Linked DNA regions of Cricetulus griseus. The protein of the gene in region 1 interacts with the protein of each later gene in a pairwise test. Links are inferred from orthologs where the notes say so. Each region holds a gene or a part of one and is shown in the gene's direction. Other genes may lie near its edges.

Region 1 (4,749 bases):
CTCCCTATAGCCTTCCCCATTCCTTCTCCCTTGTCACTTCACTGTCAACCTTTTTTCTTAATTCCTGATAGCGTCTATGGGCATTAAGCAGGCTTTTGCTCATAAAAATCTTAACATTTGACACCTGGATGTGACAAGCACACAATACCATTATTTTAATTTTTTTTCAGTTATGGTTTCAAGTCTGTTTTACACTAACTAGACTTGACACTGCTATAATTTGTTGGATGCCAAATTGACTTCTCAGTGCTTTTTTTTTTATCTTGAAGGGGCATCGCTTTTTTTTTTTTTTGATGTGCATTTTGCTCTCTTCTGTTTATTGAAACTTTTTCTGTTAAATCTACGTTCAGGGCAACAATAACAAACCAGTCGACTATCACCAAGAAAAGTCTGTCGCTGATATTTTTCCACCCCGTGTATCTCAAATAACTTACAGCAACCTCACTTAGCACACCACAGGCTTGCTTGCTTGCTTTTCGGGCCTGTCCTGGAACTCACTCTGGAGACCAGGCTGGCCTCGAACTCACAGAGATCCGCCTGCCTCTGCCTCCCGAGTGCTGGGATTAAAGGCGAGCGCCATCGCTGCCCGGCACCACACGCTTTCTTTCTCTTTCTTTCTTTCTTTCTTTCTTTCTCTTCTTTTCTTTCTTTCAGCAGCCGCATTCTCCAAAGAATTTTCTTCCAGCGAGAGGAAGAACTGGGAGGGAATGGAAAAGTCGCGGTGGGAAGGCTCCGTTCCGCCTTGCGGCCGGCCACTTAACGTCTCCAGCGCCAAGGCCGGCGCCCTAGCCGCGCAGGATGAGTGACTGCACTCGGCCGCGGTTCCGGGTTCCAGCGGCCGGCTGAGGGCGACTTCCGCCGCGGCCCGCCGAGGCTCCGCGGCAACCGTCCGGGCCGCCCAATTAGGGGCTTTCCGACCCCCACGCGGAGCCCGAGGGGCGGGGGCCGCGGCCGACTCGCGGAGGGCACCCCGCCCCCGCCGCCGTTGCGCCTCTGGGCGCACGCGCAGCTGCCGCCGCTCCGCATTTAGTCCGCGATGGCGTCCCTCGCGCCCCACGGTTCTCCTCCCGAAGGCGGCTCCCACCCCGCGCAGCCCGGAGGCCCCGGGGCCCGCCTCTCGCAGGCCCCCGAGCACGACTACCCCTAAAGTGGAACGGGAGTGGCCAGAGTCGAGAGTGAGGGAAGCAGCAACCGGAAAGGGCTTGACGGGTCGCGGGGCTACGAGCCCAGGCCTCAGAGGAAGAGGAGGGCGTGAGCAAGCCGAGGTTTGCCGAAGGCGGCGTTCTCCAGCCGCGCGGGGTGGGTAGGAGGGGGGTGTGGCGGAAACTGCCGAGCTTTCCCGAAGGCGGCCGCGGCCGAGTTGCCCGGATGTAGTTGGTGGAGCGGCGGCGGCGGCGGCGGCGGCGGTGCTAGCAGCGGCAGCGGCAGGAGGCGGCGAGAAGGACTCGGCGGCGGGGGGAGGAGGGCAGGCGGCGGCGGCGGCGGCGGAGCAGGAGCAGGAGGAGGGGAAGGTTGCTGGAGGCGCTCGCTCTCCGCGGGGACCCGAACACGGCCTCTCGCCCCCTCCCCCCGGCTCGCGCTGCCGCCGTGTAGTTGGCGCCGCTGCACCGGCCGACCCTAAGCGGTGGGGACTGAGGGAGATGGCCCGGGAGCGCCGGCGCCAGTAACGGGGAGGTGCCGCGAGCCGCCGAGGGCGCGCCGAGTCCTGGTGCCGGGCTGCCCGCTGCCCGCCCGCCGCCCGCGCGCGCGCCCGCCCGCCTCGCGGCCGCTCTCCCCCTCCCCGACACACACACACAGCCGGGCATTGATGGTAATGTATGCGAGGAAACAGCAGAGACTCAGTGATGGGTAAATCGTCTTTTCGTTTCGGGCCGGGCCGCGGCGGAGGGCGGGCGGGCGGGCGGGCGTCCTTATCGGGAGCTGGCCGCGCCGCCATTTTTGTTGTTAACCCTGATCGGGATCGGGCGGAGGAGGCGGCGGGCCGGGTCGATCGGGCGGACGGGCTTGCAGCCTGGGGGTCCTGGCGGGCAAGGCGAGCGGGCCGCGGCTGCGGGCCGGCTACTGGCCTGGGCCTCTGAGCCCGGGGATTGTCGGCGGTGCGAATCCGCTCCGGTACGGTTTGGTCGGCGGCCCGCGGGGAGGGGCGCCCGGGGGAACCCGCTTTCTTCCTTTCCCGCGATGTCTCATGCCACGGTTCTTGTTACTGTTTTTCAGCTGTCACGACCGGAGGGGGGACTCTCAGCCTTTCCAGGTACCAGCCGATCCGGGGGTAGAGGGATTGGAGGGGGCCGGAGGGGGAAGGGAGGGACTGCTACTCGAGCGCAGGCTTCAGAAGTCGCTACAGGCCTTTCGGTGCAACAAATCCGAAAGTAGCATGACTGGCCCGCTTAAAAATTGGTATAGGGTTCCATTACCACTCTCCAAGCTTATCCAGGGACTTAAATTGAGAGGTGGCTAGAGGAAGTTCAGGGTTTTTCTTTCTTTCTTTTTAAAGAAAAAAAAAAAAACATTCGTAACCAGGAAGACCTGGTTGGGTTTGAGTGAGAAGGAATCGCTGGGGTGTAGTGATAGGTGACGTGAGAGGCACATTTGCTTGCTTGCTTGCTTTTGGAGAGCCGAAAGATAAATGTGAAGGTTTTAAAGTAGATGAAAGGGAGAAGTACCTTTTTTTAGTTAACATTATTCCCTTTCAAGGGAAACTGTTTTGTTTTTGCTTTAGTTAATTTAAATTTTCTGCCACTTGGTTTCTTTATGCCAATAGTAATGTCTCTGGGCGTCTATTGTTATTGAAGTTTTTGCATGTAAAGTTTTAAAGATTTGCTGGAGTGTCCTCTGGACGCTAACTGATGATAACAGATAGCACCACTAATCACTTTTAAAAGATAAAAGAATTGGAACAGATCTGCCTCTCAAGGTTCTGTGGCTTCCAGTATTACTCCTGTCTTAAGTCTTCTGAGTGCTGGATTACACGTGGGAGCCACCAGTCTGGCAAGAGAGCAAGCAGGTTTCTAACACGATGTTGTGTTACTGTATAGGAGCTTCCGGGATGACAATATTTGCATGTGTCAAAGATTATTGACCCCTCCCCCATATAACTACTAGTGAAGGACTGATACATTGTGTTCATCTTAAAGCACCTGCAGAGGAGAGCCATTATTTTAAGGGCGTCTAGAATTATGCCTTCTTAGAAGCTCTGCTCATGCATCAGTTTTGGCAAATATTCTTGCAGCTTAAGAGTATTTTATCCCTGAAAGAGCTTGTAAACTACGAGTTAGTGCTTTATTTGAATCAAAGAAATGGAAAAACTTTTATTAACTATGGTCTTAAAAACATGCTTATTTTGTACATGTGCCTGGATGCATTATTTGTAGAGTATAAATGGATTGCAGTTTAAGCTTTCAAAAACTGGTTTTAGTTTCAAAGTGTGCCAAGATAGTTGTTTTTTAAAGTTTACATAATAGGGTTTTTTTTCTCCCCCTAGTTGTATTAGATTTCTTACCAGGAGTTGCATAGTAACTCTTGAGCATTTAGATTTTCTCTGAATAAGGGAAGTACTGAGAATGGAAATAAATGAATTTTGATTTAAGTGAAGTTAACATATTAAAATTTGTGATTTAAATAGGTAATTGAGTTTAAAGTTTGAACTTTTTCTCTTTGTTTTGGGGGGTGATGTTTTCCAGGCACTTAAGTATTCGTCAAAGAGTCACCCCAGCAGTGGTGATCACAGACATGAAAAGATGCGAGACGCCGCAGATCCTTCACCACCAAATAAAATGTTGCGGAGATCTGATAGTCCTGAAAACAAATACAGTGACAGCACAGGTCACAATAAGGCCAAAAATGTGCATACTCAAAGAGTTAGAGAAAGGGAAGGTGGTAAGTAGTTTTCTGGCCCAAACTGTCAAGTATATGTATGTACTTTAAGGGTTAAACAGTGCATTCAGTGTGTCGACCTTAAGGAAGTTACTGTATGCTGATGTTATCAAGTTTGGTATTTTTTCCCCCTCTCTTAAAATTTTTCAGTCACTTGGAAAGTAATGTTGGCATGAGCATAGACTCCAATGTTTGATGATAAATATCGAGTGCATTTACAAAGATAATCTTTTAAATGTTTACTAATGACAGCAGAGTCCCTGAGCAGTTTTCCAAGAAGGGAACTTTGAGTTCTGAAGATTCTGGTTTAGTTTGAAGTCATTGGTGCTTCAAGTGTTCAAGTTTTAATTGTAATTATGAATTAGACATTTAAAGAGGAGGTTTATCAAGATAGCTACTGCCATTAAAAATGCTTTTTGTATTTGTTTGTTTGTTTGTTTTTTTGAGACAGTGTTTCTCTTTGTAGCTTTGGAGTCTATCCTGGCACTCGATCTGGAGACCAGACTGGCCTCGAACTCACAGAGATCTGCCTGCCTCTGCCTCCCGAGTGCTGGGATTAAAGGCTTGTGCCAACAACACGGCCTAAAAAGGCTTTTTGTTGTTTAGGAAATTAGTTTTTGTTTAACCCTTTAAAATCCTACATCCCTTTTTTGGTTGTTTTTTTGTGTGTGTGTTTTTTTTTTTTTTTTTTTTCCCTTAGGGTCCTGTTAATGTTTAATAGAAATACACAACTTTAAAGATCTTTTTTAAATTCCTATTTTGCCTTTTCAGATAGGGCCTCATATGAGCTATTCAGGTGAGGATGACTGGGAATAGGTACATTTGCACATGTACTTTGCTCACTGTTTATAAATGTACCTATTTGCTTCTAAAGTC
Region 2 (4,824 bases), on another chromosome or scaffold:
TTTGAGATGGGATCAAGAACTGCAATGGTGAACATATTGTGATATTTCTAGATGTTACCTCAACTATGCCAATTGTGCTCTCCCATAACTATTGCAGGTCAGACTGGTGTCTACAAGAAGCAAAAATGCCTTGGTCCAGAGGCAAGTCTTGACACAGTGGCACTCTCTCTCCTCTAGCTGCTAAAATTCTCTTTTTTTTTTTTTGTCTTGTGAATTTTACTGTTTCTTCAGAAAACTTGAGCTTAGCTCAAATATCAACTTTTCACAGAAGATTTTTCCTGGCTTCCCTGGATTGTCAGAGCCCCTGTTGTCTTCTCTTAAGAGAACACATTTCAGTTTTAATTTTGTATTTACTGATTTGTCTTTAATATTCATCTCCCCTACTTTTCTCCATGCCACCATGGATATCAGAGGTAGTCTGTAGGTCTAAATGCAGATGTTTAGAAGGCAACTGACAGACAGATTACATACGTTTAACAAAGCAATATTAGTAAACTTCTCACTGGAACATATATTCTTACCGTAGCTTCTGTGGGCAATCCCAATAAATACACTGGGTTACAATTCTGAGCTTGAGTAGAATCATATGTTCAGTCTTTTATCCTTCTGGGGTAAATAGAAATAGTCAACCCAGAAGGAGCCATGCAACAATGTTCATATCTGAAAAGACTGGGAAACAGCTGGGAGTGGGCACAAACTTGCTCAGTGCTGTTAGCCCTGTGACCAAAATACTCCTTGGGAACCTAGAGGGGTCTGTCTTCTAGAAGAAAGACAAGCATAGGTGCATGGTATGCCTACATGCATGCATGTTCTCTCTCTCTCTCTCTCTCATCTCAGGCAGCATGATGAAGGCTGTATGAACTACTTGAAGCAGGAGGAACCTTCTTGTACTGGTTGAAAAAACTCTTAGAGCTAGAGCTGGTCTGTACCTTGAAGGTGAGGAGCCATGTTCCAACAATAGAGGGAGGATCGTGGAGTTGGAAAAGTGCAGGGTGTGTTGTGTAGAATGGCAGAATATTTGGTAGAGTAAGGGCCTAGGGTGGATGATGACAGGCAGGTGCTTGAGGTAAGCCTAAAGTTTATGGCTAGATTATGAGTAATTGCATGCTGTTTATTGGAATCTGAATTTGTATTCTCTGGCTTTGACAATACATGATTTTTCAGAAGAGATGGACAGTTTGTGATGTTTTATGGAAGTACATAGCAGAAGCATCTTAGAGTCAATAGACTTAAGGTTCTGAGGTCAGGCAGTGGGTACAAACCATACATTCACATGCCAGTCAAGTGCTCTGGACTGTTCACTAAAGCTCTTTGAGTTTGCTTCCCTGTCTGACCATTGCCTGAGATGTTGTGGGCATTAACTGGCACCAGCATTACTTGGCACAATGTGATGAATAACACTAGTGCCCATTTCTGACCCTGGGACTAAACAAGAACTGTCAGGATGTAGTAGCTATTTTCACTATGACTTCTGCAGAGACCTTTTGTAGACCATTTGGAGTTTCCTTGGGCCAGCCTGCTTATTTCATCCTTAATAAGAAATACCCATGACTAGTGACAGAGTGGAATGTTCCGGTAGCCATATATATATATATATGGACAGGGTTTCTCTGGGTACTCTCTGTAGACCTGGAACTCTCTCTGTAGACCAAGAACTCTCTCTATAGACCAAGGTGGCCTTAAGTTCAGAGATCTGCCTGCCCCTACTTGCCTCCATAGTTCAGGGATTATAGATGAATTCCACCACTGCTTAGCTTGACTTTACTTTTAACTCTGCCTATTCAGAACACTTTTGGCTCTAATGAAAAACTTTTATAGATCATTTTATTTAGGAATTAAAAATGGAGTCATCATATCTTCAAAAGTGCCTGGGGACATGCCTGACTCAAGGTCTCGCTGAAGTGGCAAGAGTCCGCCCATTGGATCCAATAGAATATTTAGCCTTGTGGATTTATAAGTACAAGCAAAATGTGATCATGGAGCAATTGGTAAATATGGATCTCCTTTCAGGAAATTAGAAGAGCATGATAATTGGTTCATCTTGTTTACATTTTATGTTCAATATTGTTTTTCCATTACAATAATGTTTATTATATGAAAACTTTGGACAGTATGTGAATGCAGAGAGGAGAGAAAACAGAAAGAAGGCTTCTGTTTTGATTTTAAGTATTTTCAACCCAGTAGTGTCTTTTCCTGACATGTTTGTCTGTAGATTGGTTTCATTTTTCTTTATATTTGATGTATAATCTTAATTGTGTGTTCTTTGTTTGGCTAAATCATAAAAATCCCCCAAATTGTTGTATAGTTTCCAAATGAATAGAGCATTATGTTCTTAGCCCTTCTTTTATTGCTGGTGGTTGAGATGCCTCTGAGACTGTGTTAACAGATTGGTCTCTAATAAGTTGTGTGCTGTTGCTTTTTACCAATTGCTAGAGACAGAAAGAGATGATTGAGTTGGAGCATGAGAGAGAATTAGCACTGATGGAGCAGGAAATGCTGGAGCGACTCAAAGCTGAGGAACTCTTATTTCAGCAGGTAAGACAAGCACTCAAATATGATGGAAGTTAACAGTGTCACCCTTGGTGTGCTACAACCCACATCTGGAAATACTCCCAGGCTCTGGTCATTCAGACATTGCTCCCTAGTATCCCCATCCTTTTTTTTTTTTTTTTTTTTTTTTTTTTTTTTTTTTTTTTTTTTTTTGTGAAGAGACAGTGCCACGAGGAAACAGAACAATTCAGAGAATAGTCAACAGCACCACTGCTGAGCTGGTGCTCATTTATAGCCCAGGCAGTCTCTCCAGGAACAGTGGTGAGTGTGAGGTGTAGAGGGTAAGAAGGGGGATGGTGAGTGAGCATTATGCTTTAACGGGGTTTGTGAGGGGAAGGGAAATGGGTTTTATTTTGATTCAGGAACACATGGAACACGTAATAGAAAAATCGAAAAAACCATCTAAAACCTTCTATCCACTGTAAAAAGAGGCAATGGGCCTGGAAAACAAGTGGATGAACCTTTCTGTTATTGCAGCTCAGAGACAAAGCATAGGTGGCTAGGTGTAGGTGGGTGTATTGGCTTGTGACACAAAGTTGAAAGCTGACTTGGTGTGACTTTATGAGGTAAGAATCAACCAGGACCATATACTTAAGAATCAAGTGATGAGGTAGGAGGGATGGAAAGAATGATGAAGGTCTGAAATAATACCTTAGGAGGATGGAAGGGTAGGTTGTACATCCCTGACCTAAAAAAAAAAGAAACCCAAAACAAGAAATATTTCTAAATATGTAACTTTTTGCGTGCTTACATGGTGTCAAGGAATGGAAAATTACACATCGTTAAACTTTGTTTCACATAGCAAAATGATAAAATGTGGTATTTGATTACTTTCAGTTAGAAGATAAAATATAACTGAATTTCATGTTGTCTTGGGTACCTTACCTGAGTCATCTTACTACAGTCTTAAGCATTTCTGAAACAAGTATGATGTAGTATTTGGAGGCCAAGCATCTGTAGTAGTGCTGCCCACTTGGACCTGTCCTCCTCTACAGCTAGATCTGTCTCTACTGAAGAGAAGCAGGGAGTCTCAGCTGTTCTTCTTTCCCAAGACAATGAGTTCACTATGGGGATATACTTCACAGCCTTTGATGCGTCTACTTCATTCTACTGGAATAAAATTTTAGTTACACTAGAAATTCAACATTTTCATAGCTGTGTTAGCCAGCAAAGCTAATCTTCTGCATGTTGAACCCAAAGCATTTCATTTGCAGGGGGTGTGGAATGTAGGATGACATTCTACAAGAGATGTTATGGTTAGTTAAAGAAGTGGATGGGTGGGCAGAAGTAGATAAGAGAAGGAGAGCTGAACCAACAGAAAAGGGCTTAACAGGGAGTGTGTTGAGATGAGAAGTAGCAGATCATTCTTTTTCTCTTGCTCCCTGAAGTGTTTGAGTTGGAGGCTGAGGATTTGGCTTCTTCCTCGAGGTCATTTACAACTCAGCACTGATGGGTTTCCAAGAGTAATTCATGGACACCTTTGCAGCATCCTCTCCTAAACAAAAGCCAGAGAAAAAGCTGGGCAGGTGGTACACACTTACAATCCCTGTTCTGGGAAGGCAGAGGGAGGAGATCTTAAGTTCTGGCCTAGCCTAGGTTACATAGTGAGACTGTCAAAAATTAAATAGAGTAAGCAAACAAAACTCAACAAAAGCTGAGAGAAAATGCTCAAAAGCATTTGACTTGTTTTTAGTTGACAGCTGATATTGTTCCTAGTGTCAACAAATTGATCAGTGACTAAAAACAAACAAACACAAAAACAAACAAAAATAAAAGAGACATGACTGCTCCTAGGTATGGTGGAGGAGAAAGTTTACGGGGAGAGTATAGCCAGAGGCAGGTACATCAGAGTCCAGAGTGAACATGATCCTGAGCTGGGTCACATGAGGAGAGGGACAAGGGGAGAGCCGGGAGAGTAGAGAGTAAACAAAAAGGGTTTGGTAACCAATATGTCTGGGTTATATAGACAAGGGCATCTGGGGAAAGGGCACCCCAACCCCTGGGCTGGAAAAGTTTAGGAAGTGGGCTATGTCAGCCATACCCTGTAACAGTTAGGGACTGAGGAATACTAGGATAATGTAGTGGCCAGGTCCACTTTGATATGTTAGCAATTGTCCCAGGTTTGAGACCTGACATCCAGCTTTCTTACTAATAGTTTAAGAATAAAACAAAACAAAACAAACAAACAAATTTTGCAGGGTGACACATTTCTTTGAGCATGTAAATCAACACTATTTAAATTAACTCACGCTGGCAAATATCATTCCTTGCCTT

The links. The genes of interacting proteins can lie anywhere in the genome.
Region 2: the proteins of Wac (region 1) and Dydc1 interact in binary tests that used the Homo sapiens proteins (3 or more experiments, as listed by UniProt). The two-hybrid records come from large-scale screens. The link is inferred for Cricetulus griseus from reciprocal best matches to the Homo sapiens genes WAC and DYDC1.

What each region holds. Positions count from the first base shown.
Region 1 is NC_048596.1:207,007,693-207,012,441, reverse strand, and holds the start of Wac (WW domain-containing adapter protein with coiled-coil), read left to right. Parts: upstream 1-1,431; 5' UTR 1,432-1,807; coding exon 1,808-1,848; intron 1,849-2,214; coding exon 2,215-2,251; intron 2,252-3,662; coding exon 3,663-3,876; intron 3,877-4,749.
Region 2 is NW_023276807.1:179,045,090-179,049,913, reverse strand, and holds the start of Dydc1 (DPY30 domain-containing protein 1), read left to right. Parts: upstream 1-1,841; coding exon 1,842-1,988; intron 1,989-2,433; coding exon 2,434-2,535; intron 2,536-4,824. UniProt on the Homo sapiens protein: Functions as part of axonemal radial spoke complexes that play an important part in the motility of sperm and cilia. Plays a crucial role during acrosome biogenesis.